Stegostoma tigrinum: one gene and its partners. The protein of the gene in region 1 interacts with the protein of each later gene in a biochemical or structural test. Links are inferred from orthologs where the notes say so. Each region holds a gene or a part of one and is shown in the gene's direction. Other genes may lie near its edges. The genes, in order: partitioning defective 3 homolog, jam2a and jam3b.

Evidence for each region.
Region 2: the proteins of partitioning defective 3 homolog (region 1) and jam2a form a complex in vitro, tested with the Homo sapiens proteins (2 studies listed by BioGRID and IntAct, with this or other methods). The link is inferred for Stegostoma tigrinum from reciprocal best matches to the Homo sapiens genes PARD3 and JAM2.
Region 3: the proteins of partitioning defective 3 homolog (region 1) and jam3b form a complex in vitro, tested with the Homo sapiens proteins (2 studies listed by BioGRID and IntAct, with this or other methods). The link is inferred for Stegostoma tigrinum from reciprocal best matches to the Homo sapiens genes PARD3 and JAM3.

The regions. Positions count from the first base shown.
Region 1 is NC_081355.1:130,247,516-130,257,442, reverse strand, and holds the start of partitioning defective 3 homolog, read left to right. Parts: upstream 1-5,991; 5' UTR 5,992-6,609; coding exon 6,610-6,729; intron 6,730-9,927. UniProt on the Homo sapiens protein: Adapter protein involved in asymmetrical cell division and cell polarization processes. Seems to play a central role in the formation of epithelial tight junctions. Targets the phosphatase PTEN to cell junctions.
Region 2 is NC_081365.1:12,612,160-12,622,570, forward strand, and holds the start of jam2a (junctional adhesion molecule 2A), read left to right. Parts: upstream 1-5,979; 5' UTR 5,980-6,544; coding exon 6,545-6,593; intron 6,594-10,411. UniProt on the Homo sapiens protein: Junctional adhesion protein that mediates heterotypic cell-cell interactions with its cognate receptor JAM3 to regulate different cellular processes. Plays a role in homing and mobilization of hematopoietic stem and progenitor cells within the bone marrow.
Region 3 is NC_081385.1:20,253,577-20,263,715, reverse strand, and holds the start of jam3b (junctional adhesion molecule 3B), read left to right. Parts: upstream 1-5,688; 5' UTR 5,689-5,711; coding exon 5,712-5,769; intron 5,770-10,139. UniProt on the Homo sapiens protein: Junctional adhesion protein that mediates heterotypic cell-cell interactions with its cognate receptor JAM2 to regulate different cellular processes. Plays a role in homing and mobilization of hematopoietic stem and progenitor cells within the bone marrow.

The DNA.
Region 1 (9,927 bases):
AGACGCAGCTTTCCTTTGTGTAAGATTAGGGTGGAAGTCCAATGAAGACTGGGAATGTGAAAGTGGGAGTGATTGAAAGACTGTCAATTCCAGGAATAGAGTCTGTTCTCTGAAATGACCTAACAGGATTAAGAGTGGGAGTGACAGCACTTGCAGTGAAGAAGTCAAAGGAAAACCAGGGAACTGAGGAGTTAACAGAAAAATACCCTGGAATTTTACAGACTGCATGGTAACAAGATCCTACAGTCATAAGTTACAGCATGAAGAAAAAACTAAAGAGAAAGAGAAAGGAGTTGAGGGCCAGTTAACTGAAACCCTGTTTGATGAAATGATAAAGGAAAAACCTAGGCAGGTAGAGGAACAGGCAAGGTGTTTAGTTCTGAAAGATTAATGGAGTTACAACAAAAAGATGAGACAATAAAAGATGTATATCATAAAGCCTACTTGGAAAAAGAATCAGAATGTATTCCAGAAAGTTATTAGATTAGGTTCCCTAGAGTGTGGAAACACACCCTTTGGCCCAACAAGTCCACACCGCCCCTTGGAACATCCCCACCCAGACCCATCCCCCTATAACCCACACACCCCTGAATACTACGGGCAATTTAACATGGCTGATCCACCTCGCCCGCACATCTTTGGACTGTGGGAGGAAACCTGAGCACCTGGAGGAAACCCACACAGACACGGGGAGAATGTACAAACTCCACATAGTTACCCGAGGCTGGAATTGAACCCGGGTCCCTGGTGCTGTGAGGCTGCAGTGCGAACCACTGAGCCACCATGCCGCCCCTTTATTACTTTATGGATAGAATCCTAAGGTGGAAATGGAGACCTTGGCAGGTTGGTGCAGAGGAGAAATGGGTGGCGGTTCACCAGGTTGTGCTGTGGGCAGCATATGAACGGGAATATTACAGGTAGCATACAAATTATTGGTGGGGGGTCATTTAGGAGCAAGGAAAACTCAGGCTAAGATACAAAAGCATTTCTAAAGTCCTGGATTATATAAGGATGTGGTTGAATTTTGCCGTACCTGTCATACATCTCAGATGGTAGGAAAGCTTCATGCAGTAATAAAACCAAGGCCTTTGATGCCAATTCCCGCATTTGAAGAAACTTGTACGCCGATTATGGTTGATTGTGCAGGTCCCTTCCCTAAAACCAAAAGTGGAAACCAGTATTTGCTAACCATAAGGGATGTGTCAACCAGATTTCTGGAGGCAATTCCATTATGGAGTGTCAAGGTGGAAGAGTTGCTTGCTTCCTTTACCCAGGGAGATTCAGTCAGAACTAGGGTCCAATTTTACTGCCAAACTATTTAAGGAGATCATGAATAGTTTAGGCATCAAACACTTTAAATTAAGTGTGTACCATCTTGAATCACAGGGAGCATTGGGAAGGTGGCACCAGACCCTAAAAACCATGCTGAGGGCTTATTGCCAGGATTAGCCAAATTATTGCAATAAACGGACCCATTTATAATGTTTGGCATTAGAGATGGCCCAAATAAATCACCTTAGTTTACTCCATTTGAGTTGACATTCAGACACAAAGTAAGACGGCCTTTAAAATTAATTAAGAAAAATAAATAAATTGTTATGTCTTACTTATAAAGTGGATATCAGGGATTTTCTTTCATTTTTAACCACACTTTTAACAAATTATAAAGGCGAGGCGAGCTTCTCTGGGTGTTTCAGAAGGGAACCCTCTAGTACGACTAGTATTTTGGTTTTATCCTATTAGACGGGTTTGACTTACCCCTTCTCTGGAACAAGTGCATCAACCACGCTGTCTGCTTCCATGTGTAAATTTTTATTCCTGGAACACGGGCTTTGCTGGCAGGGCAGTATTTTATCGTCAGTCCCCAGTTGCCCTCAGAAGATGGTGAGCTGCCTTCTTGAACTGCAGCAGTCTACCTGCTGTGGGTTAACCCACAATGCTCTTCAAAAGGGAATTCCAGGATTTTGACCCAACAACAGTGCAGGAATGGTGATATATTACCAAGTCAGGATGATGAGTGGTTTGGAGAGGAACTTGCAACTGGTGTTGCTCCCATGTATGTATTGCCCTTGTCCTTCTAGATGGAAATGGGTGTGGGTCTGTAAGATGCTTCTGAGGATCTTTGGTGAATTTCGGCAGTGCATCTTGTAGCTAGTACATACTGCTGCTACTGAGTGTCAGTGGTGGAGGGTGTGAATGTTTGTGCATTTGGTGCCAATCAAGTGGGCTGCTTTGTCCTGGTTGGTGCCAAGCTTCTACACTGTTGTTGCAGCAGGCAAGTGGAGAGTATTCCATCACACATCTGACTTAGAGTCATAGAGTCATAGGGATGTACAGCATGGAAACAGATCCTTTGGTCCGACTTGTCCATGCCAACCAGTTATTCTAAACAAATCTAGTCCCATTTGGCAACATTTGGCCCCTATCCCTCTAAACCCTTCCCATTCTTATGCCCATCCATATGCCTTTTAAATGTTGTAATTGTACCAGCCTCCACCACTTCCTCTGGCAGCTCCTTCCATACACATGCCACCCTCTGTTTGAAAACGTTGCCCCATAGGCCCTTCCCCTTTGACCTTAAACCTATGCCCTATAGTCCTGGACTGCCCAACCCCAGAGAAAAGACTTTGTCTATTCACTCTATCCAGTCCATCATGGTTTTATAAACCTCAGCCTCTGATGCTCCAGTGAAAATACCTCCAGCCTATTTAGCCTCTCCCTTTAGCTCAAACCTCCGACCCTGGCAATATCTTTGTAAATCTTTCCTGAACCCTTTCAGGTTTCACACCATCTTTCCTAAAGCAGGGAGACCAGAATCGCACTCGGTATTCCAAAACTAGCCTAACCAATGTCCTGTACATGATCTCCTAACTCCGGTACTCAATGCACTACCCAATAGTATACCAAATGCCTTCTTACTCACTGCAGTATTCCTAGCCTTTGACCTGCTCTCCTAGCCACTGTGTTTGTGCAATTAGTCCAGTTAAGTTTCTGGTCAATGATAATCCCCAGGATGTTGAAAGTGGCGGATTCAATTATGGTAACACCATTGAATGTTAAGTGGTGATGGTTAGATTGTCTCTTATTTGGTCATTGCCTGGCATCTGTGTGGCATTAGTGTTAATTGCCACTTGTCACCCCAAACCTGGATATTTTCCAGATCTTGCTGCATTTCATTATGGACTGCTTCAGCATCTGAGGAGTCGTGAATGATGCTGAACATTGTGCAATCCCTACATCTGACCTTATATTGGAGGGACAGTCATTGATGAAGCAGCTGAAGATGATTGGGCCTAGGGCACTACCCTGAGGAACTCCTAAAGAGATGTGCTGGAGTGGAAATGACTGACCTCCTACAACATCATCTGCCAGGTATGATTCCAACCAGCAGAGCCTTTGCATGGCCTCACACTCCCCGATACCCATTGATTCCAGTTTTTCTAAGACTCCTTGATGGCACACTTGGTTGAATGCAGTCTCGATGTCAAGGGCTCTCACTCCCACCTCACCACTGGAATTCATCTCTTTTGCCCATGTTTGAACTAAGGTTGTAATGAGGTCAGTGGCTGAGTGGCCCTGGCAGAACCCAAACTGGACATCACTGAGCAGGTTATTGCTGAGCAGGTGCTGCTTGACGATAGCACTGTTGATGACACCTTCCATCACTTTACTGATGATTGAGAATAGACTGAATAGTATTTGGTTGGGTTGGATTTGGCCAGCTTGTTGTGCAGAGGACACACCTTTGCAATTTTCCAAATTTGAGTAGAAGCCAGTGTTAGAACTGTACTGGAAGAGCTTGGCCAGAGGAGTGGCATTTTCTGGAGTACTTGTCTTCAGTATTATTGCTTGAGAGTTGTCAGGGCCCATAGGCTTTGCAGTACCCAGAGCCTCCAACCATTTCTAGATATTATGTGGAGTGAATCAAATTGGCTGAAGAATGGTATCTGAGATGCTGGAATCATAGGAGAAGGCCATGATGAATCATCCACACAACACTTCTGGCTGAAGATAGTTAAAATTGCGCAGACCATCATAGAAGCCAACCTTCCATCCATGGACTCTATTTACATGACTCATTGCCGTGGAAAGGCTGTCAACATCAAAGACCCATTGCACCCCGGTAATGACCTCTTACAACCTCTTCCGTCAGGCAGAAGATACAGAAGCTTGAACACATGCACCATTATTAGACTGATGAATAGATGCCTTAGGCTCAAATAATGCTGATCTTGCTAACACTGATCTCACTTAGTGTACAACCTGTGCGAGGTAACCTGTATGCCTCTGTCTTCAGCTGTATGTTTTGTACTAATGTGTTGGGTTCTTCAATAATTGAGAATGGGATATTTGATTGATTGATTGATTTATCATGTGTACCTGAGTACAGTGAAAAGCTTTGTTTACGAGTCATACAGGCTGATCATCGTAAGCAAGGATGCACAGATCAAAGATTGTAAAAACTTAGACAGACGACACTTTCCTATTTATATTCTAAAGATTTTTGGATTTTTAAAATGTTCATTTGTCAGTTTTGTCTTCATCCCCCTCTGGACTTCTCAACCTGACGGCATCTTACTCTCTGTGTTTTTTGTCTTTGCTTACCCCACCCATGTCTCTCCTAACAATGTACCTTGATTGCAACTGTTCCAGCTCTTCTTTAAAAATAAGACCATTGTTTTGTCTGCTACTGTTTAATGCCAATTTACCTGGGGCAGATCCGTTCTCACCATACAGAATTTGGCTCTATTCCAATTAAGCATTTAGACTCTAAATGACATATTGTTTCTTTCAGTTGCCAATTTAATCTTATGATACAATGATCACTGTTTCCTACACATTCCCTGACTGACACTTGATCCAACTCATTCCCTTAATCGAGGTTCCACAATGCCCTCTGAGCTCATTGGACCAGGAACATACAAATCAAGGAAATTTCCATTAATGCATTTCCAAAATGCTTCTCCATCTCTGCTCTTTATACTGTTAGTATACCTCAAAATGTAGCTGGATTATTAAAGCCCCTATTCTCAATATTCTTCAGTTTGTTTGTATCTCTGTGTGTAATTTAGCTGCAAATTTATTCCTCTGTAACTTCTGAACTCTAGAAAACACCCAGTATTACACCTTTATTGTTTCTTTGCTCTGAGTAGATTCAGAAGTTCTGAGGAAGGTTCACTCAATCTGAAATATTAAACTCTGATTTCTCTCTATGACTGTCCGCAGATGTTGCCAAACCTGCAGAGCTTTTCTATCAATTTCTGTTTTTGTTTCTAATTTACCGCATCTGCAGTTCATTTGGTTTTTGCTTAGTTCAATGCTATCTCTCTGAATCTTTTGCAGACCTTGTTTCTTCTTTCTAATGTTACATGCTATTTCCCAACCTTTGCCAATCAGCTAAGCATCCCATGAGGACATTGGTCCTAGCTTTGTTATGGTGCAACCTGTCAGCCTGTACAGGTCCCATCTTCCCATGAACGATCCCCAGAGATGTAGGAATCCCTCATTTCTGCACCATCTCTCCAACCACACATTTTTCTGTGCTTTTGCTTCTGTACCATCTAATTCTTGGCATTGGAGGTAGTCTGGAGACTAATTCTTTGAGGTCCTGAATGATAGTCTCCATGCCAGCCCACAAAGGTCTTCCTATAAGACCTCACCCCTCTTTCTACCTGTGCCCACTAATTTGGATCATGACCTCTGCTTGTTCACTTTTCCCCTTCCAAGTGCCCTGTAGCCACACAATATATCACGGCCTCTGGCATTGGGGAGACAACACACCTTTCTGGATTCATAACTGCAGAAACAGCTATTTCCTTTCATGTATATTCCGTCACTACTGCACTTGTCATGCCAAGGAACCATCTCTCTTCCATGAAAGAGCGAATTGTCTTCTATGCACTCAATAGCTGATTGTCTTCCGGTCACCCAATCCAGCTCTGCCTGCACACTCTCAGTGCCAGCTCTCGAATTCACGGAACAGACGGCAAGGGAGAGAGGACCAGTCGATACAGTGTGGAGCTGGAGGCACTCAGCAGGTCAAGCAGTTTCAGGGATCCTTCATCAGATCATGTGTGCAGTTCTTGCTATCTCCAAGGGAAGGAAGACATTGGGAGCGTGGTAGTGAATATATGCAGTATTTAGTGATGAAGTTTGGCCCTCAGCGCAACACCGTAATGATTTATCTTCACCTCAGTCTGTGCGGCTAGGAACGCGCTTTGCACGTCTGTGGTTGAAGCTGAACGCTGGATTTGCAACGTTGCGGTGCCGTGAGCGGCCAGGGCGGGGAGACACTGGGTGCTCCAGGTTTTGCTTCCCTGATTTTGGGCTGTTCCTCCGGCAAGGCTGTGCTCGGCTCCACTCCCACAAACAGGAACAGGTGGCGGCAGGAAGAGGCGCCGTGTACAACCCGAGCGGGGCCGCTCGCACCACCATGAAACAGAGCATTTCATCGCACGGGGCGGAATAAAGGAAAGATACAACCTTGCAGCCGGCAGCGGTGAGAGAGGAAAGGAAACAGATTAACCGCCAACCCTTTCTTTATTTTGGGTTGAGCCGACGAGACCCTTGTGCAACAGAAGCTGCGCGCTGTTGTTACCGAGACGAGTGATGAAAGTGACCGTCTGCTTCGCGAGGACCAGGGTGGTTGTTCCTTGTGGAAATGGGGCCATCACGGTGCACAGCCTGATCCAGCAGGCGGTGACCAGGTACCGCCGTGCCATCGCCAAGGTGAGTGAGGGCAAAATAAGGGGAGCGGAGTGGCGGCGGACACAATGTATCCAGAGACCAGCCAGGAGCAACATGGCGCTTCCTGATATTCACATTGGATACAAGCTTTCACCTCCCTCTGTGCTTAACGAAGGGAGGGTGAGTGCAGAAAGAGGAGAGGAAACGAAAACAAAATACAAAAGCCGCGACCATAAAGTTAAAGCTTTTCGCACGGCCTCCTCCCCTCCCTTTTCTCCACAAGTTTTGAAATCTTTTTTTTCTTATTATTAAAAAAGTTTTTCGTAACTTTATCCCCCGGCAGATTTGGGTGTATTTTTCTCCTGTCTGTAAATTTATTTTCTTTCCCCTCCCTCGGCGGGGGAGAAAAATACAAACTGGTGTGAGGTGAAATGGAGCGGCCTCGGACTGTGAGAAGAAGGTGACTCAACTCCAGCTCGAGGCTTTCCCAAACACGGAGGCCTCGGACTCCTTTCCTGGGAAGTATTTGACAAGAATTTGGGTTTCATGTTTTCGAACGATCGATTAAATTCCGTAGACGAGTCGCTGATTACTGATGATACCGAAATACGAATAGGAACAGAAGCGTTATTTCCCCCTCTCTCATTTCCAGTCAGTCTTGTCAGTGAGATGATTGCATGAGTAGGATCGGAATTCATTGGCTAATAACGCTGTTTTCGCATCAAGCAACAAAAGAAACGAATTTCTGCTTGAGATGGACACATTGCTCCCCTCTAACTGGTGTCTAATTTAAAGTCATCTCATTGTAGTAAATTAGATTCGTAACTTTAAAATTAACTCTAAACGTTTTCAGACTAGTCTGTTGGGTAATTAAAACAGGGTTTACTTTCTCAGAAAAGTGTTAAAAATAAGAGTTGGAAAGTTTGGCCAATTAGCCAAAGTAGGTAAATGGAAAATATAACTAAACTACATGGACCTTTAATACTGATCAATTGTTGAAGTTAATGTACTGTTAGTGTGAACTATGATTAAAAAGTGCGTTTTTTTTTATTCTTTGCATAGTTAGCACAAGCAAATGAAAGTGTAATTTTCACAAACCTGTCAATTATTTTGAAGAGCTGTGAACAGTTGTGACCTTGAAATTCCTGCCACGTGCATCTTTTAACTCTTGACCAAAAGCATATACATATAAATCTATTTGGTTGAGTTGAATTGTATTCCAACTCTAGTTAAACTGAAAGTGGAGGTTTGTGTTGAATCGGATAATTGGTCGCACAAACTGTATTGCCTACTTTGTGCATGGACTAACTTTTTAATCAATAGTTGAGATGTACCGGAAATGTAAGGTTAGGTATTAGTGGTAGCCTGCTGTAAATGTATTACTTCACAGTGCCACAAAACTACTGGCTAAATATTTAACGTTGTATCAGAGATAATGGGAACTGCAGATGCTGGAGAATTCAAGATAACAAAATGTGGAGCTGGATGAACACAGCAGGCCAAGCAGCATCTCAGGAGATGCTGCTTGGCCTGCTGTGTTCATCCAGCTCCACACTTTGTTATCTTAAATATTTAATGTTCCTTGATTATAATTATTGTGATTTTCTGTATGTTCCTGTGTAGTTAGAATTTGCAAATGTGTATTTACTGTGCAAGAAATATTCGAATAATTGGCTAAATAGTTTGCTTGAGGTATATTTTTGGATTGATTTTTGAAAAAATGTGATGACATATCCTTTGTGTTATAATCCTTGCCACCCAAGCAGTAAGTTTTGTAATGAGTGGACAATTTTTGATGACTTCCCATAAACTTAATTTTAAATGTTATTCATTCACCTTGGTTGCATGTTTAATGTCTAGTTTTCAATTGACCTTGCACTGGATAAAGCCTTAACAAATTCCTGTGGGGGAAAAAAAAATTCTCATCTAAAGCAAGTCATTCATCACCGGAAAAATTGTTGGTTGCTATTTAGGTTAAAGAAAAAGTTTTAATACTGATACAGGTGGGAATGCAGGATTTGATCTGTAAATGCATTAAGAATGAAAACAAGGTATTCATGAATTGAGCGGAATAATGGATCTCATATTTATATGCAGACAGCACTTGAACAGGTCATTGAGGATGTCACAAAACACTTGATGCATGTTGAATTACTTCTCAACTGCAGTCATTCTTAATTTGCAGAGGGGAGTGACAGTTTCTTTGCAGACAGCACAATCTCGAACAGTAATGAGATGAATGTTCAGTTGTTTTGTTTTGAATGATCTTTACTGAAGAAAAGCTGTTGAACAGTTGAGGAAACCTTGCTGTTCTTGTTTGAATACACAGTCTTAATACTTGGTTTTTTGTGCCACGTGAAGATAAGCACCTCTGACAATGCTGTGTTCTTTCAGTAATAGGCTGAGGTGTTGAACTAGATTACGTGCAAGCGGCCTGCTCACAAGCATCTAATTTAAGACCTCAGTCTACACACAGCGCTTTCCAGTCCACAATCTCTGTCATTTAGAAGGACAAGCGCAGCAGGCATACAGAGTAACTACCAAGTTTCTTCAGCAAATCACACATGATCCCAAATTGCAACAGTATTGCTGCTCTTTCACTGTTGAGTGAAACAGCTGGAGTTCCTTCCTAACAGCACTGTGGATGGAGTAGTTTGTGAAGGTGTCCATCATCATCATCATCCTTGGACTTCTATTAGAGACTGCCAATGACACTAACATCCTGTGAATGAATTGTCAAAAAAGAAGTATTGGAAGCCAATAAAATGGCACAGTAGTGGTTAACAGGGATGATATATCAAAAATGAAAGGATGCAGCTGAATTGAAAAACCTAAAACAAATAACAGTATATATTTTATGATGCATTGAATGTGTAAATTATTTAAAAATTATTTTCACTTGTAAGTAGGAAGCATAATTTCTAAGATGAGTACAAGCATTAAAACATGAATTACAAATTACTTACAGCACAGAAACTTGGACCAACTACTTCACACAGTGTGTATGCTTCATGTGAATCTCCTCCCATTTTGCTTGATCTAGTCCTATCACCATTTCCTTCGAAATATTAATGTTTCCAGATGATTGAATATAAGTCTAAACACTTGAGAGAATTGGAGTAAGGTTTAGAAAATAAATGAAAATAAATCAAATGCAACTTGACACCTTGGTGTCCAGCTCCACAAGCGTTCAGGCAATGCTCCTGCAGTATCAACCATGATAGACTGGGTGCTACACCT
Region 2 (10,411 bases), on another chromosome or scaffold:
CAGTCGCAAACCATTTCCACTCCCCCTCCCATTCTCTTGATGACATGTCCATCATGGGCCTCCTGCACTGCCACAATGATGCCACCCGAAGGTTGCAGGAACAGCAACTCATATTCCGCCTGGGAACCCTGCAGCCATATGGTATCAATGTGGACTTCACCAGTTTCAAAATCTCCCCTTCCCCTACTGCATCCCTAAACCAGCCCAGTTCATCCCCTCCCCCCACTGCACCACACAACCAGCCCAGCTCTTCCCCCCCACCCACTGCATCCCAAAACCAGTCCAACCTGTCTCTGCCTCCCTAACCGGTTCTTCCTCTCACCCATCCCTTCCTCCCACCCCAAGCCGCACCCCCAGCTACCTACTAACCTCATCCCACCTCCTTGACCTGTCCGTCTTCCCTGGACTGACCTATCCCCTCCCTACCTCCCCACCTACACTCTCTCCACCTATCTTCTTTACTCTCCATCTTCGGTCCGCCTCCCCCTCTCTCCCTATTTATTCCAGTTCCCTCCCCCCATCCCCCTCTCTGATGAAGGGTCTAGGCCCGAAACGTCAGCTTTTGTGCTCCTGAGATGCTGCTTGGCCTGCTGTGTTCATCCAGCCTCACATTTTATTATAAAGAGATAGTAAGAACTGCCGATGCTGGAGTCAGAGATAACACAGTGTGGAGTTGGAGGAAAACAGCAGGCAAGGCAGCATCAGAAGAGAAGGAAAATTGACATTTTGGGCCGGGACCCTTCTTCAGAAATGGGGGACAAGTAAAGGAGCTCTGAAATAAATAGAGGAAAGAGAGGTGGGACTGGGGAAGGTAGGTGGAATGCTAATAGATGAGTGCAGGTAGGCAGTGGTGGGGATTGATCAGTGGGGATTCCTGCAGATGTATTTGGATGGAACACTAATGGCGTCCCTCACCTCATACATCATGCAGGAGGAACATTCCTCTACTGCACTCCCATCCCTGCTAGTCCCCTTATCAGAAAGTAATAAAAAGAGAAGCTTACCACATCAGCAGATGTGCAGGCCTGTCTGAAGTGAAAGGTTTTCTTTGATTCCTTGGATGAAGGTGAGGCAGGGGGAAGCGTAGGGGTAGGTGTAGCACCTCCTGCCATGGTGAGGCTAGTGGTGAGTGTGATGCGGATGAGGGAGTCATGGAGACAGCAGTCCCTACGGAAGGCAGATAGGATTGGGGAGGGAACTATATCTTTGGTTGTGGGGTCAGATTGCAGGTGGCGGAGAATTATACATTGAATCCGAAAGTTAGTGCAGTAATACGTGAGGACAAGGGGGATTTTGTGTTTGCTTTTTGTTGCAGGGTGGGGGTGTGAGGGCAGAGGTACAGGAAGTGCAAGAGATGTGGTTGATAGCATTTTCTGCCACCAAAGTGAGGGAAATTGCGTTCCTTGAAATACAAGGACATCTGGGATGTTCGGGAGTGGAACGCTCCATTTTGGGAGCAGACGTGGCAGAGGCAGAGGAATTGGGAGTCAGGGATCGCATTCTTGCAGGAAGATGGGTGAGAGAAGGTATAGTCCAGATACATTTCCTGCTTTGTTTCTCAACAATGTTTGACATATCAGAGACAACCTATGCAGCTTAAAATTTACAGGAAGTCTGACTGTGAACTGTCAGCCAGCATTAACTGATGCATTCACATGACAATGCCTCTGCCTAGCAGAATTGACTTGCCAAACAATCCAACATGTCTCCTCACAAAGCATAATCATGTTGATTTCTGCCTTGAATTGGAATTATTGTGCATTGTCCTAATGAGTGCAAGATAAAAGGCTTCAACAAAAGGTACCTTTTTTCATAATGCTCCAATAAAAATGTTAAGAAGTAACATATTCCAGAGGGTAGTAGGAAACCAACCCAATCTGGAACACACCACAAATACTCAAAGAAACATCCAAATATTATATGAAGTGGAACCAAACTATGAATCAGTTGCAGCGATTTAACTAAAATGAAAAGAACTGTGGATGCTGGAAATCTTGTACAAAAACAGAAATTGCTGGAAAATCTCAGCAGGTCTGGCAGCATCTATGAAGAGAAATCAGAGTTAACATTTCAGGTCCAGTGACCCTTATTCCGCACTCAACCCAAAACCTTAACTTTGATTTTTCTCCACTAATGCTGCCAGATCTGCTGAGATTTTCCAGCAATTTCTGTTTTTGTACAAGATTTAATAAATACTTTTCATAAGATAAGGATTACTAATCCAAAACATATACCTATTAGGCTACCATGTCCTCACTATGAGATTTTTACTCAACTTCATGTACACAATACTATGCGTACAATATGAATACAAGCCAAGATAGGAATTTGCATCTACCAAATGAGTGGCAGGAAGCAGCCTCATACCATTAATATATTCACCTTTCTTCTATATATTACTTGCCTCATACATATTCCCCCAGATAATTGCAAGGCTATAACAAGAAAGTTATGATTGTGAGTAATGAAATGGTCGAAGCAAACAATGTAAGTGCATTTGGGGACAGCTGTATAAATACATGAGAGCAAAAGGAAAAGGATATATTGATAGGGATGGATGAAGGACATTAGAAGAGGGCTCAGATGGGGTACAAACGCTGTAAACATTTGGGGTAATGATCTGTTTCTGTGCTATTTGGAAGTAACTTTTATTATACAACGTGCAAGACACTGCTGTTTCCTATAGAGGCGAAAGAACTGTTTAAAGAATACTGGGAAATGAACATACAGGCCATCCTAGGGTTGCATTTCCAGGTATAAAAAAAGAGTCTGACTAGTATTCATTATTTCAGGCATCTGAAGGGAAGTGCCAAACAACAGAACAATTGAAACATTATCAAACAAATTTTCCTGCGGATACCAGAAATTGTTTGATTAGGAATCTGCCCAGGAAGAAGTGAAGAAAAGATATCTTCAGAAGCTGCCCCAAACACAGACAACTCCTTCTCAATCTCTTCAAACACTGTTAATCCTTACAGCACACAAGAGTAATGTTGTGACATTATGACTGGTTACACCAAGGGACCAACAACACAACTTGCTATAGATGAGAAGGCAAGATCATAAAATTATAGAACTGGAGTAAACATTAGGAGGCCACTTTTTTAAATTCAATCGTGGACATTGGTGTTGCTGTGTGGCCAATATTTATTCCCCATCCCCAGCTGCCTTTGAACTGAATGACCTGATAGATCATATCAGAGGGCAGTTGAGAGTCAGTCACATTGTTGTAGGTCTGGAGTCACATGTAGGCCAGACCAAGTGAGGATTGCAGTTTCCTTCTCTGAAGAAAATTAGAGATGTATGGGTTCTTCTGACAATTGGCAATGGTTTTGTGGGTATCAGTGGATTCTTAATTCAAGGATTGTTTTAAAAAATGAATTAGCCTGTAATATATATGGTGGCTCTTTGAAAGAATAATCAGACACCCCTGCTTTTCTCCATAACCCATATGTTCTTCAACCTGAAATACATCCCATCTTCCTTTTCAAATTATTTAAGGTTTCAGTCTCCTCCAACTTTTCAGACAGTGTTCTAGGATACAATAAATCTTTGTGGTAAACAAAATTCTCCTCATCACTCCTCCAGATCTTTCAACAATGATCAAGGGAAACAGAATTTACAGCTTCCTGGCACCTCAGTCTTGATTGCATATATTCCTGTCTTACTGTGAAAAGTTTGAAAAACTCTCAGTGTGTTTTACACAATGCATTACTTTTCAAAAGAATGATGAGTATGTCTGCATATCTGTTACCAATTCTTTACCAATTCTGTTATATTTAAAACAATGAAATGTCAGCGTGTTCCTCCAGACAACAGAGATAAATGGATAGGAGTTTTGAGGTGATATCAGTCAGAAGAATGTTTATGAGAGCACCAGGAAAGTCATATCTCTCAAATTTAACTATACAAAGTTAGCAATGGCTCAGTTGAAGGGGTACTGACATAAAGGGGTATGTGGAGAGCATGGGAATCTGACATTAGGCCAGATGATCAGGTATGATATAAAATGGCATGGCAGGCTGAATGATCTTCTCCAACTCCTATATTCCAAAATCTAAAGGTCTGAACACAGGCTGAGCGCTCTTTGTCTCTTTAGAAGAAAATGTATCTGGTGACAGTACTGACTGAAATGAAGCATCAGGAAAAGGTATAGCCTAGAGGTCATAAACATGAACGAATCATTAATAAATCTAATAAAAAGTATTCAGAAGAAACATCTACACCTAAAGAGAGGTGAGAATTTGGAATTTGCTACAATGAGAAAGAGGGAGGGAAGGTGAATTGGGTTCCTTGTTTTCAAATTCTCAAAGTATCTGCAATGAAAGCCCAAAGTTCTTTTTAACATGTGGCTATAGCTTTTCCTGATGCTCCATTTCAATCAGTATTGTCACCAGATACATTTTCTTCTTAAGAGACAAAAGAGTGCTCAGCCTGTCTTCAGAGCTGCATTTATTGTTTCTTCTCCTTTCTCTGCCAAAAGCAGCTCCCTGAAACACAAGCTAATTTGTATACCCTGTGTTGCTGACATTTTAAGGCTTATTAATTGTAGACAGTTATACCTCCAACTGTGAATATTCTCATAAAGGTGTCAATCAAAAAAAAGGATGAGGGCCATTTCACACCTACTCGGGGAGTTTTTTTGTTTGGCTGGTTTCATACCCCTTAGGGAAGATGTTAATTTCAGCATGGATTGAATTTGCCCAATCTGCATTGTTGTCATAAAACATGGTCAACCTGTATGGGTCTGGTAATTGCTCTGGTAATTTTAAGTTAGTGTATTTAATCCTTTTTTAAATTCAGATCATGGAAGTCTCAGGTATTAGATTAAATAGATCCAAAAGATTTTGAAACTGGATAGTCCATATTTTATATTATCATGACATAAGAGAAGTGATTTGCATATGTGTGTTTAAGGGGACTCTAGATAAATGCACAAGAAGCAACAATATTCTAAGACAGTAAGACAGAGCAGTAGATCAATACTGGGGTAGTCAGTCAGACAACTTTCCATAGGCTTACACAACTATATAGCATGAAATGATCAGTTCAGGGTAGCTATTATCCTGTAAGTTGGCTTTGATGCACCTGATTTCAGCATTATGTTTGTGTGGTGGACAAATATCTCTCACTCTATTTATGAGATTGCCAAAGAGGCTAATGATATGGTGCACGGAACTGTAGGAATCCCATGTGTTTTTTTGACCAATGAAGTTGGACAGGAGCAGAGCAGTGCAAACGTTAGAGGCTCTCTGAGGTTGCTGCCCAAGACTGGCAAAAATGATAACAGAAACAGAAGTTGCTGGAAAAGCTCAGCAGGTCTGGCAGCATCTGTGAAGAAAAAAAATCCGAGTTAATGTTTCGGGCCTGGTGACCCTTCCTCAGAAATCAGACAAAAGTGATGTTCGTTAACATCAGAGATAATGGGAACTGCAGATGCTGGAGATTCCAAGATAATAAAATGTGAGGCTGGATGAACACAGCAGGCCAAGCAGCATCTCAGGAGCACAAAAGCTGACGTTTCGGGCGTAGACCCTTCATCAGAGATGAAACGTCAGCTTTTGTGCTCCTGAGATGCTGCTTGGCCTGCTGTGTTCATCCAGCCTCACATTTTATTATCTTCGTTAACATCCCATTGTGTTGCCCATCCCCATTTACTGTTGAGCTGAGTAGCTCTCTAATAAAAAAAACCAAAAGAACTGCAGATGCTGTAAATCTGCTGTAAGAGGTATAAGCAACACATGGGGGTGTAACGGAACATCACTTTTGTCTGAGTTCTGAGGAAGGGTCATTGAACCAGAAACATTAACTCAGATTTTTTTTCCTTTACAAATACTGCCAGACCTGCTGAGCTTTTCCAGCAACTTCTGTTTTTGTTGCTGAGTACCCCGCTAGCCCCTTGCAGAGAGCAGTGAAGAGTCAAACACATCACAGTGGATCTGGAATCGCACAAACGTCAGTCAGATGTCTTTCATTTGCCTGAAAGAACTAATTCGTCGAAGAAAAGTCACACCGGACTCAAAACGTTAACTCTGTTTCTCTCTCCACGGATGCTGCCAGACCCTCTGAGTTTCTCCAGCACTTACGGTTCTACTTTATTTCCAGACCCCCAGAAGCCGCAGCTCACTGGCTTTTGTTTTAAGTTGGGTGGATGGAGAGGAGACAGGGGAGCGAGAGGCGGAACGTTCCCCCTTCCTGCGCTGTGGCCATCGCGCGATTCGTGGGACGGAAAGGAAAGGAGCGCAGCGCATGATTCGGCGGAGGAGTTCGGGCTGGCGATAGAACGAACCTCCTGCCCAGCTCAGCAAGGAAGGCCGTGGCAGTAGGACCCTGCAGGCGCAGCCCTCTTAACAAACGGGAGAGAGAGAGAAAAAAGTCTTGACTCACTGAGAAGGAGCAGGAAAAAGAAACAGGTCGGGTCTCATCCCGCTGCACACAGCCTAGCAACCGTCGGGAAAGGCTCTGGCTAAACTCTCTGGGGGCTACCTTTAGCAGACTGACTGGAGTTGGGGGTGTGGTGGCTGCTGGTGGAGACTGTGATAACATGGTGAAAGTTGAAACCTTTGTGTGTTCCTTCATCCTCCTGGAGCTGTGTAAGTACTTGACAAAAGTGCCTTCAAACATTGTCTGCCGCTCCTGTCTAACTTTGGCTCTCTCTGCCACCTCCCCCACCATCACCAGATCCTAACGGTTTCTCTTTGCTTGCTGTTTAGCCACCTTGAATCTGAGGAGTGAGCTGCTTTCTCATTGATTCCTCAGCAGTTTGGCAGCTCTCTGGACCTGCTTTTATTTGGGGTTCGTCCCTGTTGTTGTTAATGTCCTGCCCCCCCCCGCCCCCCCGCCTTGCAGCTTAGGTCCTCGGGGCGGAGAGGTGTTTGTAAATTATTCCTGCAGTTCTGTCCAACAGACTCCCTGCACGGGACGTGTTGGTGGAATGGAGGAAACTTTTGTAGAATTATTTGAAGCCCACACCAGTAATCCGCGGCTGCCAAACTTTGGGGATTTAAAAGGAAAGGAAAATGAAATAGAAAATTCTGGAAACGTGGTCAAGGGGATGATTAACCCTATGTTAGAATACATGCCTGAGTTCAGACACAGTCTCCTCACACACAGTCAGGAGAGTGAGTGAGAGGACAATGGTTGTTGAGTTTAACACCCTTCGCCTCAAACAAGTTGATGCAGTGATCCTAATGTAAAGGCAGGAATCGCACACCAAGCAAGGCCCCCCTCCTCCAGGTTTAATGTATCAGCAAAGGCTACAGTTTGTTGATCCCAACCAAGACAATGACTCAAGGCTAAAACAAAGAACTGCAGATGCTGAAGGTCTGAAACATGAAACAAACAACTGGAGGAGGGAGGAAATAAACTGTCAAGTTTTGTATCTGCAATTGCATGGGAAGGTTCTGTGGGGGGTGTTTGAAATGGAGGAGGGGTGTACCAGAGAAAATGGTCCCTTGTAGAAGGCGAGCAAGGGAAGGGAGGGGAACATGTGTCTGATGGTGGCATCTCACCAGAGGTGGCAGAAGTGGTGGCTGATGATCCTTTCAGTGAGGAAACTGGAGGGGTAGAAAGTGAGGACCGCGGGGTCCCTGTTTGCTGTTGTGCAAAGGATGGGAAGCGAAGGTTTGAGGGCACACTTGCTAGAAAATGGAAATCAGATTTGCGTTTAACAATAAAACAGAAATTTATTCTGTGAAAGAAATGAAGAATAAACCAAACAATTTACAAATTTAAAGATTTCAAAACAGATTAAAATGTAATTCCATTAATCTCAATTGCTTACTCTTTCACATCTATAATAGCACATTTTAACTGTGACTTCAATTTCCTTGTCTTGTGAATCTGATAGGCTTCAGGGAGAGGCTTCATACAACTAAGCTTAGATTTTCTCTGCTTCAAGTAACTCCTTCAGAGGTGTAACCAAATACTTCTGGTTTGGAACTTTCAGAATAAACTTGTTACACTGAGGCGCTTATTTCTTAACAGTTCTAAACTGCCTGTTCTTTTTCATGGGCTTTATATTTTCATGAACTTTATAGATTCAGATTCAGCTAAGACTTATGCAGACTGAAATTGAAAAAATCTTTTCCAAGCTATGATTGTTTTCCGTAAGCCCAAGAAAACAATTCAGGAATCTTTTATCTGAAAGCCTAAAGCACCATTGTGTTTACTTTATTCCATGATAAACTCTCCAAATGTAAACAGATTTGCATTAATCTTCCGAACCTATCTCTCTCATGTTGTGTTTTTAAAAGATTTCACAAAGGCATTAGAAATACTTTATAAGTTCATCATTAAACCCCTTCAGACATTCTGAAAACCCATATGCCACTAGTTCAAAATTGAAAAGACAAAAATAAATGAGATTAAAATATTTATAAATCTCATATGTATGTCACGGGTGGCACTTTAGGATCATATTGCATGAATCAGTGCTTCACAAACTTTTTTCTGCTGTGATCCCACTCTTAGGGAATTCCAGCACTTCAAAGAACAAAAATACATAATGGCAATACATTTTCAAGTTGAAATGTTTCTGTGATTAGGAGGGAGTGTGGAGATATTCTTCCCAAGTGCCTGCTGCCCTTGTTCTTTCAGGTGGTAGAGATCATGGGTTTCTAAAGTGACCATTATTCATGTGAGTGTTGGCTTTGAATAATGGTAGGCTTATTAACTGTGGAGAGTATCACAGTTCAGTCTAATGATATACTGTCCAGTGGAATCAAAACATAATGATCAAGAATGAGAACAGTGATCAGGAGTGAGAAGCATGGCTAAATAATCTCAAGCGTAAATCCTTTTACTGTAGCCGCTTTACCAGTGACTTAGACTCAGGACCTATTGGGGCACCTTCCTGGTCTGTGCTGCTCGGCTACTCACTGATGAAATTTGCCATGGTATTGGTGTTACTTTATCACAGTATTGTAAGTTTGGAAGTCCACTTAGCCTTGTGCTGGCTTATTAAAAGAGTTGTCCAGTTTTTGCTCTAGCCCTGCGACTGTTTCCCTTCTAACATATTTGCTTTTATGAAAAGTTCGGAAAGAGATTTTTGTTTTTCTTAAAAACCCTGTTAGCTTGACTCTCTGTCGACCTTGGCACATGCTCAGCCAATGCAGCAGTAACGACATTAGTTCTAGTACATGGACAGTAACACATTTTATATATGGAGCTCCCCTCCCTCCCCCATATTGGCTGTAGTCCATGTTCTGCTTGCAGTCCAATGATCTTCACCCTTCTGAAAGAGAAAAAGGCCAAAAATGTCTTGCTCATAAAAAATTCTTGCGATTGTACAGTGATCCATGTATTACTTACATTTTGTGTATTAAATAAGAGAAGTCAATATGCTTTAAGTAGAACAATTTTAAAAGGAGTTCAGAAAAGGAGAGACCTGGTGATGTTTGTGCATAAAATCATTGAAAGTGTTAGGACAAACTGAGAATGTTCCTAAAAATGAACAGAATCTTGGGCATGATACACAGCTGCATAGAACAAAAATCTAGGAATTTACAGTAAATTTTTATAAATCAATGTTAAGCCTAATTTGGAGTACGGTTCTGAGCATCAAAGTTTGAAAAGAATGCTGAGTTCTTGGAGAAGGTGTAGAGCAGAATATCAGAGGTATGGAACAGTTATGTGGAACGACTAGAGATACTGAAATTATTCTCTACAGAGCAGAAATGATTAAGGAAGTAGCTTTAATAAAGGTGGGATGTTGATAGGTGAAAGAATGTCTGCTCATTTTCAGGGTCAGTAACCAGATTCAGTGTGAAGGCAACAAAATAGCAAAGAAACATGGAATCCCTGCAGTGCATAAAGAGGTCGTCAAATCTGCACTGATCCTCTGACGAGCATCCCACCCAGATCCACCTCCACACCTTATCCCTGTAACACTGCACTTATCATGGCTAATCCACCTAGCCAACACACTACAAGGCAACCTCGCTTGACTTGCACATCTTTAGATGGTTGGAGAAAACCAGAGCACCTGGCATAAACCCACATAGACACATGGAAAACATGCAAACTCCAGAAAGCCACCTGTGGGTGGAATTGAACCTGGGTTCGTGGTGCTGTGGGGCAGTGGTGCCACCAATAGAATTTATAGAACAAATTGTTTAACATGGCATGAGCTGCCTGAAAGGGTAGTGGGAGTGAGTTCAGTAATGATTTTTGAAGGAAATTGGCTAAACCATTTTTTAAAAAGTGAAAATTACAAGATGGGCAAGGATGATAAGCATGGGACTCGATAAATGACTCTGTCAAGGAGTTGGCATGAGGACAAAGGGATGATGGTCTCCTTTCATTCTGTAATATTCTAGGATTCTACTCCTTGCAATGTCTTAATACCACTCTCTTAAATATCTCAAAGTGCAACAGCAGCAACTTTCAATTGTGTTTTGTATTGATTTCA
Region 3 (10,139 bases), on another chromosome or scaffold:
TCAAATCCCACAGTTGCCTTGACTATATGTCCTCACATCCGACTTCCTGTCAGGACACATTCTGGGATAACCTAGCCACCGATATGCATTACAAACTATCAAATCCTACAGTTAATTGTTCTCACATCTTACTTCCTGTCAGGATCCATTCCATCCTCCCAGTTTCTCCATTTCTGTTTCATCTGTCCTGATGATGCCACCTTCCATACGGGTTCTCAGAAAAGTCCACATTCTTCCTCCATCAAGGATTCCCCACCACCTTGGTTGACAGGGCCCGGAGCCATATCTGATTCATTTCCTGACTCATTCTCTTCCCTTGCACAACAATAACAAAGTCCCATAGTCCTCATTTTCCATTCAACCAGCCTCCATATCCAGAGGATCATAAACCACCATTTCCACCATATCTAGCAGGAATCCACTACCAGAAACATATTCCACTTCCTTCTCTTGTCAACAGGGACTGTTCTCTCTGGGACACTGTGATTCATTCCTCCTCCACACCCAACACGTTCCTGCATTCCTCGGGCAATTTCCTATGCAATCACTACCCTTTCCCGGCTTTTTTCAGTTCTGATGAAGGGTCATTGGACTCAAAGCACTAACTGTTTTTCTCTCTACAGGTGCTGCTAGACTTGCTGAGTTTTTCCAGCGCACTTTTTTTTTGTTCTATAATCAGTGAACTTCTGCCTTGATATTAAGAGCAGTCAGACTCACTTCACCTCTGGTACTCAGCCTCATGTTTGGATCAAGTCTGTCATAAAGTCAGGGCCTGAGTGGCCCTGGTAGAACCCAAACTGAGCATCTGTGAACACATTATTGCTGGGCAATTTCCATTTGATAGCACTATCAACGACCCCCTCCATCATGCTGTTTATAACAAAGAGTAGACTGACGAACGGGAATTGGCTAGGTTGGAATTTATTTTATTGTTTTAGTTTTGTGAGCAGGACATATCTGGGCAATTTTCTACATTGCTGGATGAATGCCAGTGTTGTAGCTACACTGGAACAACTTGGGTAGGGGCGCAACTGATTCCAAAGCATGAGATTCCAGAATATTGTCAGCATACTGTTTGTCCCAAAAGCCTTTACCATACCTTGTGCCTTCAACCATTTCTTGATATCAGTGGAACGGATTAGCTGTACATTGGCATCTGTGATGCTGGTGACGTCAGGAAGGCCATGATGGATCATCCAATCTTTTAATCATATATTCTGAATTGTATTGGTAAACCCAATAATTTCAAAGAAAGTTTTGTTCAAACGGATTCTCAATGGTTTCATTTTGAAAAGAATGCACTTGATTAAGTTAGCTGTAAACATATTTGATTATCTGATAGAAGCATCATGAAGGCACAGCAGCAACTTTTAAACAAGACTTCCTTTCTGATAAACATCCAAGACGATGCAAGGTCATGTTCAGTTTCATTAAGTTTTAGCCACGATTAGACCTGAAAGGACATCCTTTCCCCAAGGGAGACCGTAAATCTGAGGCATTAGAGGACTTTAATCATAATATATGAACTCACATGGGGATTAGAGGTTAAAAACCTGCAGCAAAGCTCAGCTTATGTCCTCTGACATTAGTCAATGTATGGCAAGATTGACATGTTTACACGTGTATGTGACAATGCTTTGCTTGATCCTGCTTTTACAGAATTAACATGCATCTGATTACTCAAGAATTTACAGGTAGATTAAGTACTATGCACTGCATTTGTGACCCTTGAAAGCAAAGCTGTTGAGGTAGAAGGAATATTACTCCTTATTTTGAGAATGGATTACAAACTTGACTTTTAAATTATGCTGGAAAGAAAATCACAGGATGTGGACAACACAAGAATGTTCAAATATAAACAAAATACAATAATAACCTGATTTATGCTGATAATAATGTTAATGTTGTACTATTATAGGCAAATGACTATTTTAGATTTTAAAAATTAACATTACATTGTAAACAAATAATTTCCTATCCCTAAATATTACAAATAATTCTGAAGTACTGAAAGGTCATCTCTATTCCACCATTTTACTTAATATGTCTATTATTTAGTTCAGTTTCAACAAAATGGCCTTTCTTCTTCCTATTTTTGTTGTTGCTTGGAAACAATCTAGCTAAATAGTGATTCAACTAAGCATACTCCCTGCATGCAATTATTCCTCTCAAGTATTGCCATCAATGGTACAAGTAAAAAGGAAAAGAACTGAAGACACTGGAAACATGATCTAAATACTGAGCATATACAAAATGCACAACAGATAAATCAGCATCAGTAAAAAAATGAAGGCAAATATTTTGAGCATAGATCCTATTGTGACAAACAATTTACACAAACAAATGTTGTTAGGGCCACTGTTTATTTCTATTGTTTGCTGTTAGGCAAACATTTTATTTTATGCCTTTCATGTACTTTATTCTATCAAAGCAGAACCTACTATTTGCTTGATAGTCATGAAAACATACTTAGAAAACAAAGTGCTTGATGATTACATATCACAAATTCAGTAAAAAGAGCAAAATATTGGATCATATTTCAAACAATTTATGATATTGTACATAATAGCTATTCTAAGTGTTGATTTACAAATACCATCCATACCTGCAAGTTTTATGAACTAGTATCCACTGCAAAAAGGACAATATCAATGAAGTGGGATACCTACATTGATAATTGTTACTCTGACATAATCTAGGTTGTAAACTGGACCTGTTCTGAGGGATAGCATCAAAATCAATAGCCTGATTGTGCTACTTTTACTTTGGAAAACAATGTAAATACAATTTTGGTTAGGAGAGGGTTAGAAAGTATTAAAAAAAAATTGTTGATTACAGAAGTAGAAACTGATTATGTATCAGGGAAGTATGAGGAGTTGCTAGTTTGAACTAATATAGGATCTTTACCTTAAATGATCTTGAATTATAATCACTGATTCAATTGTTGACAATTGCTTTAAATCATGAATCCAATGTTAAAATGGCTAATACTGAAATTGGGTCAGAATAGATTCAAATGGAATGCAGAAATCAACATTAAAGTATTTCCTGACAAGTTACATGTTGTGAATATTGGTCAAAATGCAAAGTTTGAACAAAATCACTACTCACCTCCTTGAGAAATTAATATTGGTAATATCTATGCATAATACACTCCAACATTTTAATGTTATTTTTCCATTTTAAAACGTACATACCAAAACACCAAATTAACATTACTTGGAGAAACATGCAGCTTGCTGAATTCTATTCCAGCATTTGAGCAAATATCAAAAGTTCAGTTAATGAAGAAAATTAATATAAATTTAGATAGCAAGCTCGTTGACTGAGTATAAGTGAAATATCTACACTCTGTAGAATTAGTCATGCCCCTGTGTAATTTCCCAATATCCAAAGAAAATTGAGTCACCAGAATCATGTATAATCTTTAACAAAGTTTTAAAGAATAACAGTGTTTTCTCCTGCAACCTCAAAGTTTCATGACAAGTTAAAATAAAAACATCCAACTCATCTGACTCATTCATAATTTGTGCTCATTTGTCAGACAACTTGGAAAGTAATTTATAGCATCTTTTGTAGCATAAGTATTCAATCTAAGACTCTTTTTAATAATGTTACTAGACAAACAATATAAATGCTAGAAGATTTTTTTCTCAGATTTACTGTGTTACAATTTTCTGTTATTCACTGGAATACATGGGGGCATGTTTAGTTCAACTTCTTCTAGATACTTCACTTAAACTTAGTCTCCTAGCTTGCTAACTAAATTTATACTAATCTACTTCATTTTTGATATTTGATCAAATGCTGGAATAGAATCCAGCAGGTTGCATCAGCAGACACAAAATTCCTCATATTTGAAGGAATAGGCCATGTCTGCATAAATATTATATCTCATAAATCTTTCCATATTACATTGCACCAAATAAATTAATACTAAAATAAATACCCACAAATATTTCCTCATCCGAAGTTTAAAAATCTCATATATGTGTCAAGTCTTAGCATCATCACCCATTGCATTCTAGTCTGCAGTCCTATTTTTAACATTGTTTAAATATTAAGTGCCAAAGTCTATTTTTTATTGTCTGCGCTACATTTTTATCTGTGTTTTATGGTGTGGTTATATTACTTATCAGGATTAATACCATTTTAATGTATTTTCAGCAGCAATGAAACAAGTGTGTTAAACTTGAAGCTGCAATATTATCCCTTCACTCTGTTCCTGCCAAAGTTTTCAATGTACAAGTAATGTTGTTGCTTTTTCTGACCTTATGTTAATGCCTTCAGTTAATGATATCTGTCATTATGAATTAAGAAATATTAAGTGCCTATTGCAGTGCTTCATCAACACAGGGAACAGATAATTAACTTAATTTATTAATTCTCCTTGAAATGTTTAGTCTACAGTGACAAAACATATTTATATAGCACCTTTCATGTTTTAAAATACCTGATGCATTTACAGGAGCATTTAAAAAAGGTAAAGTTTCCATGGTTCCAGAAGACCATAAGACTACTCTCTCATTAGAGAATGATGACCAGTGTTAAGGGTCACCATGAGGGTCACCATGCCCACAGGCGAGGGACGATGTTGAGAAGTTGGGTGGCCTTGTGGTGAACTCAGCTGGTTGGGGAATTCAATCTGTGCTGTTAGCTTCACTCTGTATTGCAAACCAGCAGTTCACCAACTCAGTTGACCAATCCTCTATTTTAAATAAAGTATCACAATGAGCTACATAAAGAAGCATTAGTGCAAGTGATTAAATGTTTTCTGAAAGAAATGTATTATAAAGCAGAAAAGACGTCTTAAAGGTGAAAAGTGAGGTAAAGGGAATGTGTTTCAGAGGTTGGAATCTTGGCAACTGAAGTCATATTGGAGCATTTAAAATTTGGAGTACGCACACAGCAGAATTAGAAGAGTACAGATATCTCAGTTGTAGGTCTGGAGGTGATTGAGGAGATTGGGAGGAATGAAGCCTTAGAGGGATTTGGAAATGAGGATGAGAAATTTAAAATCAAGACGTTGCTTGAGAGGCAGCCAGTGTCAGTCAGCAAGCACAATATTAATAGAGGAATGGACCTTTCTGTAAGGTAAGACAACAGAGCATAAGATGACTTCAAGCTAACAGAAGGTAAAGTGTGGGAAACCAGCCAGAAGTATGGCAGAATAGTCAAGAATGAGGTAACAAAAACAATACTGAGGGTTTCAGCAACAGATGAGCTGAGACTTACAGAGGTGGAAATCGACTGTGCTGACAGGAATATTGCGTAGTTTATTGACATGATAAATATCATTTTTAACTAGCACATTGTTTTATTTTTAAATGAGAACACCTGCCATCCAATGCTGAGACTAAACGGGCAGAAAATGCTTCGCCCAGTGTCCAACTCCCCTGCCTTAAAGCGACACAATCGCTGTAACAAATTTGTGAAGAACTATAAAAAGAAAATCACAGTTAAGAATTTTATTTTGGATGGTGGAAACAAAATGTCCCCAGATTGCCCCCACTGACTCTGCCACTCTTACCTGCCTTGCGGAGTGACAGCATCCATCCATTGATCCATCAAACATCCCCCTTTCGCCCCTCCGTGCTCCGTTGCCATGGTTCCTCGTTGTCATGGTGCTGTCGCTCGGGGTAACAGCATCGAGATGGCCAGGCTAAAATCTCTACGCAGGCGCACGACCCTCCCGAGCAGCGGTATGCAAGATGGCGCGAGGGTGCTGGGTGTGGAGGCAGTTTGGGCTTTTTCTCCTCCTGGCGGAGAGTAAGTAACAGGCTCTGGACGTACTAACAATACTTTGTATCCTTGTTACGGTTTGAGTGTTTTTTTAAAAGTATTGTGTTTTTTTTTAATTTTATGTTACGGTCCTGGGGAGCCAGCTGCAAATTGTGCTGTCCGTTAGTTTGCGCCTCAGCAGGGTTTTCTTTCATTTCTCTGTTTAAAGTACTGTAAATCCTCTAATAAGGCACTTCTTGAGTAACATATCTCTCGAGAACAATCGTGGACCAAGGAGCAAGTTTACTTGCATTTTTAAGTTTTGCCTTTGGAGAGAGGAATGGTTCAAATGCTGGAAGTTGAGTTTATGCAGCGTGCGCTTCTTATTCGTTTTTGTCACAAAATTGTAGTTGTTTCTAATTGGGCGCGTTGTATTGCTTTAGGAGTATAGACAAATTGGATGTCTTCCACCGCGAATACTGCGAGTTGTTAAGGTTGTCCGATTCCAGTTGGGCTTCGTGCACAAACTGTAACTCCCTTCCCCTGCCGTGGGTCATTAATTTTATTTCGAGAAAAAAACTAATATCGTTAGATTTCAGAATCCGCTTTCACCAACTTTTGCTGCGGGTTTAAATCCTCACCTGAATCCATCTGTGTTCAGCGCAGTCTCGGGTATGTGCTAGTGAAGTTTGACGTGGTAGTTTACTTGTTTTTTAAAAGAATAACTTTTGATTTCTGGGCTCCTTTTAATAACAATAAAGCTACTAAGTGAACATGCGACTTTACTGTTGATTTCGGCTGCGGGATGTTGGCCAGGCTGCATTTTTTTTTCACAGATGCCTTAAGTGAAATTGGAACAAAAAAAACTCGAAAGCTTCAAGCAGAGAGAATCCGCGGAGCGAGTAAACTTGAGAATGTCATTGAGCATTTACTTGCAGCGTTAACTAATTCTCTCGCTCCTAAAAGACGCTCTGTCCCAGTACTGTGTATCTTGCATTTTCTGTGTATGTTTGATTATCTTCTTCCGCCCCCCCCACCAAGTATTGGTTACAAGTAACATGCTGTGCTTTGAGGCTTTGAATGAAGATGTCCGCCGATCTGAAAGTATAATAACAAAATAGCATAATAATAAACTTTGAATCATCAAGGTAAAGAAAAACTAAGCGTCATTCTTGCAACTGTGTAGGTTTTATAAAATGATGTGCAGTGTGGATGATTTTCTGATGTATGGAGATTGTTTTATAGTCCACTGAATGTGCTGGGGATGTTTATGGCCATGATATTCAGTTCCATTCTCTCTCTTGCTATTTTTCTACTAGCAATTATTTGTATTTTTGCTGTACATGTAACATTGGTGTAATTACTTGCCCAAATTTGAGCTCTAGCAGGGCAGATTACTTGACTTCTCCCATCTTAGTGGAATAGTAGGCTTACATAAATTAGTAACAGTACAAATATCTTGATACAAGTATGGACAGAACCATCTTGCAACCGTTAAGTGCACAGAATCAGCAATCTTACTGTTTAAATTTTGGCTTTGCTAGTTCCGCTAATGCATACTCAGAATGCAGTCTGATTTTATTGTAAAGTGAATTTTACTCTGCACAAGATTTATGCCTAACGATATTACATAAGAATCATATGTGACTACGTTGTACAAGGAATAAGAATCATACAGCACCAGAAAAGGGGTTGGTGGCTAAAATCCTTTGATTATTGTTTCAATGTTGATATTATAAAAACACCTGCCTTTTATGTTAGCAGGTAATCTTTTATTGCAAATCTTTTGTCTGTCATTTATTTACTTGTTATATTCCTTGCTGACTTTTGTGTTCTGCTTGAATTTGTTTTATTATAAACCTGACATTGCCATAGACCTTTTTTATTTAATCTGTTCACTCAGTAGTATACTTTCAGACAAAAACAGAAATTGCTGGAACAGTAGAGCAGGTCTGGCAGCGTCTGTGGAGTGAAATCAGAGTTAATGTTTTGGGTCCAGTGACACAACTTGGATTTCTGTCCACAGATGCTACCAGGCCTGCTGAGCTTTTCCAGCAATTTCTGTTTTTATTTCTAACTTCCAGTATTTGCGGTACTTTGGATTTTTATCTGGTATATTTTCAGTCTTGCTGATGCAGTGTTTTTGGTCTCTGCCTGGTGGAACAAAAGTTCTGTTATTTTCTTGGGGACTTTGAGTTTGCACTCTGTTACTTCAAATGTGCATTAGTCATTTTAATGCCTGTATAACGTTACTATAACTTCTCACCATTTAAGAACTTGCAGTGTAAAATTAGCTTTCAGACATTGCTTTTATTTAAAGTGCTCAGATGATAATGCCCTGGTTTAAATGAGTGATGTTCCTGTATCTTGATATGGGTTCATAGACGTTACAAGAATAGGCTGGCACACTGTCTTTAGACTGTTCACCACTTAGTGAATTTGTTTACCTGTTATGGTGTTGGTTGACCTTTTCGAAAAGTAATGTAAAACTATACTTGTTTAGCCAAACTTTTATACTACATTGGTAATATGCCCTTCTTTTGAATTCTGACCTTCAGCCTCACAGTAAAAGACACCCCTTGTACACTTCTCACAAATGTTTGGAGAGAATTCATCTTGCCTGTGTTCTTTAGCCTGGATTTTGTCTCACTTGCACTTAAGCATCATTCATAGATGTTGTAAAAAGTAATTGGGCCATGAGATTATTCTCTGGCAAGTAGACAATGCTGCTGATTTTCTGTGTGGCTTGTGAACCCATGCAGTTACACTACTCAAATCCCTTGCATGACACAGTGGTGTGTTTAGTTAGTCATGTTTGTGTAAAATACTAATTCTATTTATTTGCAGTTGTAAAATAACACTTTCTGTTTTTTTTCAAAGGAAGCTTGTGTAGATAAAGAACGCTTGTCAGAATTCTCTCTCTACTGAACTCTCACACCCTCCTCCCCTCCAAAAAGCTGATCAAAAACAAAGTTGCTGGAAAAGCTCAGCAGATCTGGCATCAGCTGTGAAGGAAAAATCTGTTTCTGGTCTGCGACCCTTCCTCAGAACTTTCCAAAAAGCTGATAATTATACCACAGAATTATGTTAGCTGTTATAAGTAAATTATATTGATGTTAAGATTTGCCAAGAGGAAATCTAACATTACAGAATAAATTTAGTTGAAACAACAAGCTTTTAATTAAAATCGGAATATCGTAGAAACAGTTGTGGTAATTAAGGAAAAGCTCCAGGTGAGAATATACATACTGGCAAAATTGTTTAATTACTTAAAGTATGTTATCCCATTATTTGTGTAGTATTTCTATACCAAAGTACAAAATATCCTTGCTGAAACTAGTCCTCTTTTTTTACTTCTGTCTGTAGTACTGCAATACTGAGACTGTTGCTGAGATTGGCAGTGTGGATAACATTGTGCCATGAGTAAAATACTTGGTATTTTGGTGAGGTGGAGAGGAGGTGAAACTGAAATGAACAAGTTAAGTATTCATTAACTGTTTCATTACCGTGTCTGGAAGGAATCTTTCGTCACAATGTAGGACACAGAAATTGTACACAGCTTCAATATTTTTCCAAGGCTAGTTATAAAGCTGATTTTGAGTTTGTTTGGAACAAGAACCCTTTGTTCGTACTGTAGAACAGCAATCATGCTGCTAACTCCTCCAACAAACCAGGTTTTGTTTTGATCAATGACAGCTTGCACAGAAATGAGAAACACAGAACTAGATAGATCCGTACACGAGACACCTACTTACCAACTTCAGCAATAAACCTTCATTGTATAAGAGAACAAACGCTACCTCGTTTCATTACACAGGTACCTAAAAATATGAATCTTCCATTTTGGATGCTAACATAACTCAAGACTGCTAAAATAATATGAAATTTTCTAATTACTTGTTTCTATTAGGCATTCATTACAGATGTAACTTCTTTTTGATTTTATGAATTTTAGCTCATTCTGGTAATGTCTAGTCAGTTGTTTAAAATCACTTTCAGTGGAAGAAATGTTGTATTTGGATTTCCAAACAGCATTCTAAGGTCCTATATGTTAGGTTTTTAGTAAGGTAAGAGTCCATGGTATTGAGGGTAGTAAATTAGCATGAGTAGAGGATTAGCTAAAGGGTGCAATTTCAGGATGGTATGTAACTAGTGGAGTGCTGGAGGAATCTGTGTTGGAGCCACAATTATTTACGACATACATTAATGACATAAGTGAGTAGCAGAGTTTGAGTGCCACAGAAGTACGTGGGAAGGTGAGCAGTGAGGATGACAATATATAAAGGGATATAAACAAGTAGGTGGGCAAAAACTTGGATGGAATACAATGGCAGAACATTTTGATGTTGTTCACTTTTGGCAGGAAGAATAGAGCAACTGCATACTTAAGTGGAGAAAGACCTGTCAAATGCTGCAGG